Linked DNA regions of Nothobranchius furzeri. The protein of the gene in region 1 interacts with the protein of each later gene in a pairwise test. Links are inferred from orthologs where the notes say so. Each region holds a gene or a part of one and is shown in the gene's direction. Other genes may lie near its edges.

What was found.
Region 2: the proteins of tfg (region 1) and spg21 interact in binary tests that used the Homo sapiens proteins (3 or more experiments, as listed by UniProt). The two-hybrid records come from large-scale screens. The link is inferred for Nothobranchius furzeri from reciprocal best matches to the Homo sapiens genes TFG and SPG21.
Region 3: the proteins of tfg (region 1) and pef1 interact in binary tests that used the Homo sapiens proteins (3 or more experiments, as listed by UniProt). The two-hybrid records come from large-scale screens. The link is inferred for Nothobranchius furzeri from reciprocal best matches to the Homo sapiens genes TFG and PEF1.

Annotation. Positions count from the first base shown.
Region 1 is NC_091754.1:27,494,960-27,499,470, forward strand, and holds the start of tfg (protein TFG), read left to right. Parts: upstream 1-1,564; 5' UTR 1,565-1,706; intron 1,707-3,557; 5' UTR 3,558-3,586; coding exon 3,587-3,770; intron 3,771-3,877; coding exon 3,878-3,961; intron 3,962-4,510; coding exon 4,511-4,511. Other genes in the region: jagn1a (protein jagunal homolog 1-A), read left to right, coding at 100-188, 275-737. UniProt on the Homo sapiens protein: Plays a role in the normal dynamic function of the endoplasmic reticulum (ER) and its associated microtubules. Required for secretory cargo traffic from the endoplasmic reticulum to the Golgi apparatus.
Region 2 is NC_091749.1:20,282,515-20,286,240, forward strand, and holds part of spg21 (maspardin), read left to right. Parts: intron 1-250; coding exon 251-331; intron 332-407; coding exon 408-553; intron 554-627; coding exon 628-736; intron 737-3,726. UniProt on the Homo sapiens protein: May play a role as a negative regulatory factor in CD4-dependent T-cell activation.
Region 3 is NC_091751.1:28,764,742-28,768,668, reverse strand, and holds the start of pef1 (peflin), read left to right. Parts: upstream 1-1,127; coding exon 1,128-1,202; intron 1,203-1,517; coding exon 1,518-1,692; intron 1,693-2,798; coding exon 2,799-2,954; intron 2,955-3,319; coding exon 3,320-3,463; intron 3,464-3,927. UniProt on the Homo sapiens protein: Calcium-binding protein that acts as an adapter that bridges unrelated proteins or stabilizes weak protein-protein complexes in response to calcium.

The DNA of each region.
Region 1 (4,511 bases):
TTTTTATAAAATTGAAATTTTGAAGATGAATTGAGATGAACCTGTTGTGTCAAGTCCTTTTTTTTTTTTTTTTTTTTTTTTTTGCAGAATTTTCTCAACATGACCTCTCGCGCTGGCCTCAGAAGTACCGGTACTAATGGAAGTGACTTTAAACCTAGAGAGAGGGTTGTCCCACATTACCAGATGAGGCTAGTGCTCTTCTCCATATCTGTTATTGATTAATAAATGTAATATGTGTCTCTAACAGTCTGAGGGTCTTTTGTCTTCTTTTCAGTGCTTCTCTGAAGTCTGAGGTGCGGAAGCTGAACTTGGTCCACCTTCTGATCTGGCTGCTGGTGGCGTCCCAAGTGATTGTGAGCCACTTCAACCTGGTGTCACATGACACAGTGTCTGTACCATACCAATGGGAGTACCCCTACCTGCTCAGCCTCCTCCCACTGCTCTGCAGCAGCCTATCACTACCAAAAAACAACATCAGCTACCTGGTTTTATCCATGATAAGTGCTGGGCTGTTCTCTATTGCACCTCTTATTTATGGAGGAATGGAGATGTTTCCCGTAGCACAGCAGCTCTACCGCCACGGAAAAGCCTACCGCTTCATTTTTGGCTTCTCAGCAGTCACCATTATGTACCTCATCATGGTGGTGGCTATTCAAGTGCATGCATGGCAGCTATATTACATGAAGAGTCTGCTAGACTCATGGTTCAACACCACGCAAGAAAAAAAGAAGAAATAATTAAATTAAAATATTTGTGATTAGGCAAAAATATCTGGTATATTTTAGCTGTGTTATTTTGAGGTCTGTTTTATTTTTATGACATAACATAAGTCTTTTGGTTTTATTGTTTTCCAACACCAAGTTTTTAATGAAGTATAATTCAATTTGAAAAATTGTATTCTCTGTTCAACTCTTATTATTTCCTGATACTAAATATAAGGCATTAAAATGGTTTGGGTTATGTTTTATTTTTTATGAAGATTATCGTTATTATAAGTTCTCACCTAGCACAATACAACTAGTTCACTGTGGTAAGGAGTAAAAAAGCAAATGTGGGAAACCAAAAATAAATTCCAATGTTTTTATTTCATTTTATTTATTTATTTATTTTTGCATGTGCAGGAACCTTGATGTTTGACTAATTTTAATTATGAAACATAATAAAACAGCACTGTTCAATAATTATATGTTTAGCATCACTTGATTATATTTTGTTTACAGCTTTGTCAAATAACAGTGAAGTAATACAACTTTGTAAACGTAGATGTGTATATACCAGAATGTTTTGCATTGGTAACATGATTTCATTAACTATAAATATAAAATATGCTTAGTAGTAATAAAAAATGGGTTACTTTAGGCAGTGTTTTGATTTTCTTTGTCTATAATTTTACAATATTGAGAAATGACTTCTTTTATTATGAAATTGCCTAATAAACAGATAGTATTCTATGTGGAAAAAATACGTTTACGTTAACATCCATGCCTGTGAACATAAATAATGACTTCATGCTTTGTAATGTTCCAATTTTAGGGTGGCACACTTTGCTGCCGTCTGCGCCTGCGCGTAAAGAGTGCCACGTACTGTTGACGTTGACTATCCGGAGAACACTTCCTGGGTCTAGCTAGGCTGGCTAAATATATCAAGTAATTTTCACGCTTTGGTGAGGCTTGTTAGGTACTGCGTGGTTAAGTCGTCTGATTCAGGTAAAATCCGCTATTTGATTCAGAGTTTCGCTGTAATATAATTGAGACCTAAGCACACGGGAATGTGTGTGTCATGATTGCATGTTCGCTGTGAAGCTATGTGGTTAGCGCTAACTGGCTAGTGCTAGCTCTGAGCTAACGTCACTTTAACGCCACTTAACTTTTTTCCAAGCAGCTTTTTAAGACTGTTTCGTAGAAAGTTATATTGTAAAAGAGTGAGACGTTCTTAGCAGGGTGAGGCTGGCACACTTGTACAAGTGGCATATACGGTCTTTCTTTAGCTTTGTTTTTTTCCAAATGTAGCTTGTCAGGAAATCACTGTTTACGGATTCGGTGATTTAAAATCAAGTAAAAATTGTCTGTTTTAGTGTAATATTCAAATGATGTGACATAAAAGTATAGTGTTGCTGTTTTTTTTTTTTTACTTTGCTTGTGTGATTTATATTGTGATTGTTGACATGTCAGTCTGTAAGTGGCCCGTCAAAACTTCAGCTGTCCGTGAATTCTGTGTCTAGCACTCAGCCAGCACCACCCCAATTACAGCCCTCTTACATTTGTCATTTGATTCTCATCTAGTACCCCTCTCCCGGTAGAAACCAGCTTTTTTTTTTTTGTTTACCAGTTTATGCTGCTGTGTACTAAACGTTAGCTACAACACAATCCCTAGCATCTAGCTAATTACCCATCTGGCCATGACTGCTAAAGCCGCAACATTTCTGGAATTCAATTCACAATGGGATTTTGTTCAGCCCACTGTATCAGCTGGCGACCACACATTAGCAATAAGTGACAGATTAATCAATCACGAACAGTGAAGTTTTGTTTAATGTAACATTTTATTTATATATTAGCAAATTTTTGGAATCACCGCAAAGTTAGGTGTCATAACTTCCACATTCATAAAAATGGCCATCAGTATTTTTTTCCCTATATTATTGAGTTTTGTTTTCAAATTTGAATTAACAGCAGGCAATCCTTTATAATTTGACTTCAACACAGCTGTGGTGATGCTGAATTGACCTCTAAAATCACAACTCTCATGGAAATGCATAATCAAGTGCCAGCTGTTTAAATTATTAAACATTTTATGAGTACCACTTATGAAAATGCCAATATCACATAGTACCACCTGTTTTCACAGACAATTGCAAAAATGTAATTGCAAGTTTTAGCTGTAATTTGCCCATTTTACATCACAGTTCAGTTTACAATCTCATATTTGACACAAATGGGCAAACATAACCCTTAATCCCATTGAAGTGTGCAGGTTTAATTTGATCATACTTTCACAAACCATAAGCTTTTTTCTAACCCATATGAAATGACACATTTGAAATCAGTCAGATTTCCTCACTGTATCTGTTGCTCACAAGTCCTACAAACGCCTCAGTTTGAGAATCGTGATCTAAGAAATCAGTTGCTGATAGTGAATTTTGACAACTTGGAAATGGTTTAATTTCAGCAGACATTTCAAACGGTTCTAATAATGGTGCTAAATTACTTTTTGGTACTAGACCAGTAAAAGGCTTCTCTTATCAAAGTGGTTCAGATTTATCTAAGTCAACAAGAAGGTTTGTAATCACTTAAGTGTGTTTGCCACATCACTGAGTAGTGTTTGACCCTTAGACTATGCAGATCCTAAGGTCGGTTTGTTCAGCAGGAGGCTGAGTTACAGCAGAAATGGCTCATTTTCAATGCAGTTGTAGTTTATTTGAATCAAACATACTTCCTATAGCATCCAACCATTTCTGGTATATGGCTAAATTAGAACTATTGATGTTCAGTGGAAAAAAAGAGCTTTAATAAAAGCAACTTACTTGTTTTTAATACTGCATCTCTTTTTGGACCAAGTGGTGGAGCCTTAGAGGTCAGACGGCAACATGAACGGCCAGCTGGACTTGAGTGGGAAGCTGATCATCAAAGCCCAGCTGGGCGATGACATTAGACGCATCCCTATTCACAACGAAGACATAACATATGATGAACTGGTGCTGATGATGCAGCGTGTCTTCCGAGGCAAGCTGCAGAGTAACGACGAGGTCACCATCAAATACAAGGATGAAGGTGAGTCAGGACACAGCTCAGGTGCCCGGGTTTCCCCTACTCTAATTACTTAAGAGTAAAATAATTGTAATATAAATTTCACCTGGTCTTTGTTTTTCCTTTGTCAGATGATGACCTCATCACTATTTTTGACAGCTCTGACCTCTCCTTTGCAATCCAATGCAGTAGAATACTCAAACTGACATTATTTGGTAAGACTTTGCGCTTGCTCTCCATGCCTCTGTCACATACTTTAAGCCTGAGTGGATTTGAATGGTCTGCAGATACATCAGCCAGCCACTAGAGGACAGTCTAGCTTATGTTTCACAAAACAAACCTCTGAATAAATGAACTCTGCTGATCTCCAATCACTAACCTTTGGTGGAGCTTCTGTGTCTCTGTGGTTGAGCAAACAAATAATGATTATAGAGGTTCGTAGTGCTGTTCATGCCTAAAGTTAAATGTTTATTAATTCTTGTCCCAATTTTTATTGAACAAAAGTCTTGAAAGTTGTTTAAGTTCTTGTTTCTCAGAGAGAAGAAAACTGGTAGCAAAGAGATGATTCCTAATTCTATATAAAGCTTCAAAAGGACCAATAAAACTGAAACTATCTTCAGATGTCATAGAACAAAGTCTTAATTTTCCTTGGGGTTAAGGACTAAATAACAAACAGAATTTTCAGAGATGCTAGACTAGGATTAAGCTCTTTTCCAAGCTGTATTTCTAATCTGATCCTTCTCTCTGCTTTGTGATGTTGGCAGT
Region 2 (3,726 bases), on another chromosome or scaffold:
GGCTAGCAGGTACTCATTGGCTTACATATTTAACACAAAAAGTGAGGAATCTGCAGAGCGGCATATCCCATATTGAGACATTAAAACATTTTTAGAAAGAGAACAAACCTTTCAGCAGTCTTCTAACATTAACCACAGTTTCCAGAGTACCCAGAGCTGGAACAACACAAGATCATGTTCAGGATACTTTTGAGATCAGAGGTTTCACATTTACTTGATTCTTGGAAAATGTTTCATGTTGTCATTTCAGCTGCACTATCCCGTGTACTGGGATCTCATGGAGTTCTGTGATGGCTTTCGGAAGCTTCTGGATCACCTACAACTTGACAAGGTTACACTTTGTCTCCAGTAGCTTTAAAAATAATTTGTCTCTCTGTATGCTAGCTCTGTCATGTGTGTCTCATCAGATCCACCTGTTTGGAGCATCTCTGGGGGGATTTTTAGCTCAGAAGTTTGCAGAGTACACACACAAGTCTCCCAGAGTGCACTCTTTGGTTCTGTGTAACTCGTTCAGTGACACGTCTATCTTCAACCAAACATGGACATCAAACAGGTACTTTAATGGGTCTCTTTACAGTCTCTGAAGGTTTGTTTCATAATTCATGCAGCTTCTGTTTTCCTCCCCAGCTTCTGGCTGATGCCAGCCTTCTTACTGAAAAAGATCATTCTGGGTAACTTTTCCAAAGGACCTGTGGACTCTAAAATGGCCGACGCTATTGACTTTATGGTAGACAGGGTAAGTGGACCCCTGTGTGTTTGAATATAATTGAGGTGAAGAGGGTTTGTTAAATGTGAAGACGTTTGGACCGTCAGACCGTTTATTTCTGACGGTCCTAGCCCTAATCCTAACCACCCTAACCCATGAACCGGGACTGTACAACTTTAAGGTTTTAGAAGACCTGTTAAACAGAGCCCAAGGGTCAAAATGCACAGTGATGGTGATTTGTAGGTGGTTACTTTTAATAAATTGTCAATAGAATATAAAGGTATTCAAACAAATGTAATATTCCATAAAATTATGGATTATCAATATTATTGAGCCTTTAATATTCGATTGCTGATGAAACTAGTAGGGATGTCCCACTCCGATATTGATATCGGATATCAGCCCAAAAACACTATCGGATTATATCGGACTGCATCAAAAATCTCCGATATTAGTGGTACGTTCTGCTTTAAATTTCATTCCAGCATTTCTGTCCAGCAGTGCCCAGATCCAGCATGCAAAGCCCAAGTGTGCTAGCAAAGTAGCAAGGAACAATGTCGGCCATGTGTCCTTATTTTTCGTTGAAGTCCAAAAAAGACAGTTTGGCCCAGTGCAACACTCGTCGTGCACAAGTTTCCTGTGGTGGAACAAAACTGGGGAAGATGAATACGTCCAACCTCATCGTGCATTTGAAGCAGGATCAAAAAACATTGCAGGAGGATTTTCTCAGTGTGTGAAATAGAAACTTTAGACACCCAACATGTAGCGGTTGGTCAGCGAATAACATTGTGTTTTATTTCCTTATGTCCCTAACCTCAGCTGTTGACATTTTTGCCACCAAAGGTTAATAAAAAAATTGGTCAGTTTTGTCATGGTTTGGGGCAAGAGTCTAACCCAAGACATGCTGAATCAGTTCAGGACAACGGTTGACGGAAAAATAACAATCTTTTATTAAAGGAGAACGTTAACTAAAGGTTGGTTTATGCTTGACGCGTCCGTGAGGTCCGCATGGCTCCGCGCGGAAAAGTTGCGTCATTTTGCGTCATTTTAACAACCACGCCCCTCCACCGCGTCTCCGCACGGCCCAGAATTTCCGCAACGCGCACCTCGGAAAATTTCTAACCACGCGGACGGTCGGACGCGGAAAAACATGGCGGACCGGCAAGAACTAGTACGGCAGAGGTTCGTAAATTCAGAGATTTGTATGATTCAGCTCTCAGAGATCACCGTGATCAACATGTTGTTAATAATTCTTGGAGAGAAATAGCTCGCACTGTCGGAAAAGACGAGAACGCTGTTAAAAATGCTGAAATGCCGTTTTGTAAACAGTAATTTCTACTTCTACTATGGTGTAGTGTTGGATGTTTGCCGTAGAGCTCCATGCTGCCCCGTTCAGTTTGGGAGAATATTGGCTCACCGCAGAGACGAGCCGCACAAACCATAAACGCTGCAAATTGCGAAGCGCGTTCCAGCCGCGAGCCACGTCACCGCGTGGAAAGTGAATGCGTCAAGCATAAACCAAGCTTAAGGGCGCACTGGAAATCCAGCAGGTGAAGAAACGGGAAGGCAGCGTCTAGAGGGGAGAACAACAGAGGTGAGTCCTGGGAGATGTAGTCCAGAAGGGGAGTAATGAGTGGGGACTTACGGAGGTCGTGGAGACTAGGTGAGTAAAGCTGGGCGGACACTGTGCGACTTTTTCACTCGTAGCACTCAGCTTCAGCTCAGCTTCAGATTGCAACATCAGTGGATCAAAGACTTAATGTAGTGGCTGTCTTAATTGACTTGAGTAAGGCATTTGATACAATTGATCACACATACCTGCTCAAGAAATGTGAATACTATGGTCTTCGTGGTAAAACCAATCAATGGCTTGAAAGTTATTTAAGCAGTAGATTTCAATATGTAAATGTTAATGATATAGATTCACAGCTTGTAAGAGTAATATGTGGTGTACCGCAAGGCTCGGTGCTAGGACCGAAATTATTCAACCTATACCTGAACAACATCTTTTCTGTATCGTCTCGGTTAAAATTTATTATGTTTGCAGATGAAACTAATTTCATTTGTATGGGAAAAGATATGAGTAAATTATTACAAGAGGTTTAAAACGAATTGGGTTTAATTAAAAAATAGTTTGATTACAACAAGCTATCACTAAATGAAAATAAAACCAAATTTGTGATATTTTCAGGGAACAGGCACAATGACGGTGCTAAGCTGTATTTAAATGGAGTCCCAATTGAACAAGTACATGAAACTAAATTCCTAGGTGTGATTATTGATAGTAAACTCAGTTGGAAACCACATATTGAATATATCAAACGGCAAGTGTCTAAATCTATTGCTATACTTTATAAAACTAGTGATGTACTAAATAAAAAAGCCTTGTTTTTGATCTATTGCTCTTTAGTTATGCCTTATTTGTCTTACTGTGCAGAGGTTTGGGGAAATGCAGGTAAAACGTGTGTTGAGACTGTATTTAAATGACAAAAAAAGGCGATTAGAATAGTTAATAAATTGGGATACCTCGTACCAACTCATAATCTGTTTAGTCAAACTAAAACGCTAAAATTAGGAGATATTATTAAAGTAAAAATCTTAGAGATTCTTCATAAAGTAGTTAATAATATCCCTAATTGCATAAAAGTTTATTTCAAACCAAGAGATGATCATTATAATCTCAGAGGTGTATTTATGTTTGAATGTGTAAAAGCCAGAACTAATGTGAAATCAAGATGTGTTTCCGTTGTTGGTGTGAAATTGTGGAATGAATAAGATGATGATTTAAAGGCCCAATGTGTGATATTTCATCTTATAAGTTATCAAATTTCTTGTATCACATTCTCAAATTTGTTTTTTTTTAATGATAATTCAAACAAGCATTTATTCTAAACATTATTATTAGCTTTATATTTTAATATTTTAGACAAAAGAAGCAGACCGGTGCTCCATATGGCATGCGCCATCTTAAAATACAGTGACCTTTTAGGGACATACAACATATTAAGCTTCGCATTTGA
Region 3 (3,927 bases), on another chromosome or scaffold:
GTAGACGCCCTGCGGACGTGATTTAGAATTGTAGGATGGCCAAGGAAGATCCTGCCTTTCTCGCCTCTGATTGGCTAGAAGGGCTCTACTACTACATAGGCTATTTCATTTAGCAGCAAACCGTCTTCCTTTGCAGACTGGCCTCGTGCCACCAGCAGAACAGCTGTTTTGGGCAGGTTTTTTTTTTAAAGAAAACGTGAGCTTAGCGCTATGATGTTATTAAAAAAAACTAAAACGTGAACCTTTAATTAGGGATGCACCAATATGAATCTTTTTGGCCGATACCAAGCCAAGCCAACTTTATTTATAAAGCACTTTAAAACAGCCGTCACGGACCAAAATGCTGAATATAAAAACATAAAAGCATAAAATAGAATACAGTATAGAAGTTAAAAGCACACTAAAATAAAACAGAAATCCAAAACTTCATACAGTGTCGAAAGCAAAGCTAAAAAGGTGGGTCATTAAAGATGATTTAAAAGTTTCCAGTGTGGAGGCCTTTCTAAGATGTGCCGGCAAAGAGTTCTGGGAGCAGCAACAGCGAAGGCCCTATCCCCTCTGAGCTTACGCTGTGTCCTTGGAACGTCCTGGAGCAACTGGTCAGATGACCTGATCGAGCGACTGAAAGGAGGAGTGAAGGTGCAGTAGCGCAGAGAGGTAGCGCGGGGCAAGACCGTTTAAAGACTTAAAAACAAACTAAATAAGTTTAAAATGAACCCTAAAATGGACAGGCAGCCAGTGCAGTGAAGATAATACAGGAGTGATGTGTTCACTCGTGTGTTCATACCGATACTAATATCACTGTTATGGTGGATAACTGATATTTACCGATACTGATGTATTCTTCTGAAATCAGCAAATTTTGTATAGACTGAAATTATGCAAGCTGAAATTTTGAATGTATTGCTTTATTGCTATAAAGCATGATAGTTAAAATAAAAACATATAAAACAAAATCAAACTAAAGAAATAATATATAAAATCCCAAGAGGTAGGCTATAAAAGTCCCACGTGATCTGTTTTTGATGCGCCGGTTGTTGCAACCGTAGGCTGCACAAAAACACGAGCATAGTTGTTCATTCCGTGTTGACTCCAGTTGGGTTTGGAGAGTGAGTGACCCATCCAATATGGCGCCAACGGCGTTCCACTCTTCAGCACCCAATGGGATGTCTACTATTCATACCTACGGAGCAGCCAATGCTGTGGATTATATATCTGGGTTTTATATGCTTTTAAATAAAGCTGGTAAGGAATAAATGTCTGCTTGGCTTACAGAGCTGAAGATTGTTCTAGACTGATAGCAGTTTACTTAAAATGTAGTTAGTGATTTGTGATACTTTTATCTGATTTGTGAAACGTCAAGAAATGCAGATTTCTACATGTGTCTTCGTGTCCTTATCTATTAGAAAATAGACAGGAAATAATATTAGTTCAAAAGGCAGAATCAAGAGTCAAGACCGATGTAATGTTTTCATTTGTGAAAAGTTCTGTCTAATCAAACTGTAGTCCTCTTGTAGGGTTATCCAGGTGGGGGCAACCCATCACCAGGTTCTCCTTACAGCGGACCCAGAGGTCCTTATGGGGGTGGTGCTGCAGGAAGTCCATATGGGGGTAATGGAGCTCCAGCCCATGGTGGACAGTATGGTCCTGGTGGTTACGGGGGACAGCCTTACAGACCTCAAGCACCTGCAGGTAGTGAGCTCTGTGATGGACCAGTGCTCTAAACATCTGTATAACATCTGTCTGGTTTCCTTTCTTTGCTGCTGTTCTCTGTCTTCCTGTCGTGTTCCAGCGGGGATGACGGAGAGGAAGGACATGTAGAGACAGGGGTGGGTTTAACTCAACCAGAGCTTTCACCGATCCAAACCGTTATAACCTTTAAATCTCTCTCTGTCCCAGAGGGGCAGGATGAACTCACCACGCTGAACCCAAATAAAACAGTTGGTTATGACAACATAGACCCCATGTTGTTAAAAGCACCTGGCCTCGTTATTGCTGCTCCCATCGCAATAATGTTTAACTTGTCCTGACGGCTCTCTATCCTTCCTCCAGATTGTAAATCAGCCATGATCTTTTCCCTCTACAAAGGTGGCTCTGAGTCTGACCCTATTTGCTATGGACCCATCTCCATGTTACCTTATCTAGTCCTTGAGAAGTTGGTACTCAAACAGTGAAGCACCTCATCTCCAACCTCATTCTTTCAGACCTGATATGGTGAAAGTTGATATCATCACTGCCTTAGACAGTAAATAGGTCTGCTGCTAAGGCTTTCCACTCAAGTTGACTACCTGTCACACCAACTATCTAGCAACAGCCTGTCTCCATATTTATCGTGATTTTGGTTTTTATATGCTCTGTCACGGCTGGGCAGTAAAGCCTCAAATCAATATAACAATATATGGAGCAGTTCAGCTCCAGAACGACCAGAAGACAGTCACTGCCCGTACGGTGCCAGTTAGCGGGAGAGGGGATGGTGGTGGATTCGTTTGTGGTTCCCACAAAATACTTGGCCACTGCTTCTACATTTGGGTTACCCTGCGTTTCCTGACTGGATGGGGTAAAGTCACGTTTCTCCACCCCATCATGTTTGCATGTTAAAGAATCACCTGTCTCTCTGACTATCCGACTCTCTTGGAGGTCGACCTCTAGGGTAAAGCTGTGTAGTAAAAGTTTACTTGGTCATCCTCCCAGGGATGATTTAGGTTTAATGGAAAAACAATTTATAGTTTTCTTGCCTCAAATAGAGATTTAGCTGATCTAATCATCATTTAATGTCTCCACGTTTGTCCTCCATCTAGGTAATGTCCCCCCTGGTGTTAACCCAGAGGCGTATCAGTGGTTCCAGACCGTCGACACAGATCAGAGCGGATTCATCAACCTGAAGGAGCTGAAACAGGCTCTTGTCAACTCCAACTGGTCCAGCTTTAACGATGAAACTTGCCTCATGATGATCAGTGAGTTACTCAGCTGCTGCAGGTTGGGGCAAAACCGGCGGGGACTGCTGTGTGACTTTTCTAACCTTTGGAGGGTCTTCTAAACAGGTCCAATGTAAATGTGAACTCCTACTCTGTTTAGCTCCGATATTCCAGACTTTAAAGTAAAAACAGTTGATGGTTCTGGGAGGAGTTCAGACGTGTTTGTTTCCAGTCCAACAGTGGTTCTGTTACATTCCTGGTGCCAGGAGCTGACTCGTTCTGGAGACGGGAGAACGAGTCACCTCTGGGGACAAGGACGTGCTCTTCTCAAATAAACCTGGACACGATGAAATGTTTCTACTCAAGTTTAGAAACAAAGCTTGTTTTTATGTTTCCACCGTCAGACATGTTTGATCAGACGCGGTCGGGTCGGATAGATCTGTTTGGATTCTCGGCTCTGTGGAACTTCTTGCAGCAGTGGAGAGCCATGTTCCAGAACTGCGACCGAGACCGATCTGGATGCATCAGTGGCACCGAGCTGCACCAAGGTATACCTAGGTTTCTGATTCTTAATCCAAACCGGTTCTGTTGCTAAACCCAGATGGATGAGGAGAAGTGAGGTAATGACACTGCTCACATCTGGATTTGAACTGTTTCCATAAAATACAGAATTGATTTAGACACTTTATTTCTGACTTGCAGAGCTCTGTGAGGTCAGGTCCCAAAGTATACATGTGACCTATTGACCCCATCAGAATCAGAAAAGTATTACTGCCAGTGCTCCGGCATCCCGAAGCATAGGAATCTGACTCTGCAGCACAGCCTGACCAAGGTTACACACACATGTAGACAAAACAGATACAGGCAGATAGGGATGGGTACCGAATTCGGTACTTTTTAAGGTACCGAACAAATTCCATAGTACCGACCGAGCACCGATTCACGTCATTTCAAACGGTGCCTCGTTTCGGTACCCGTCCATCATAACGAGAACTTGCCAAGACAGCTGCTC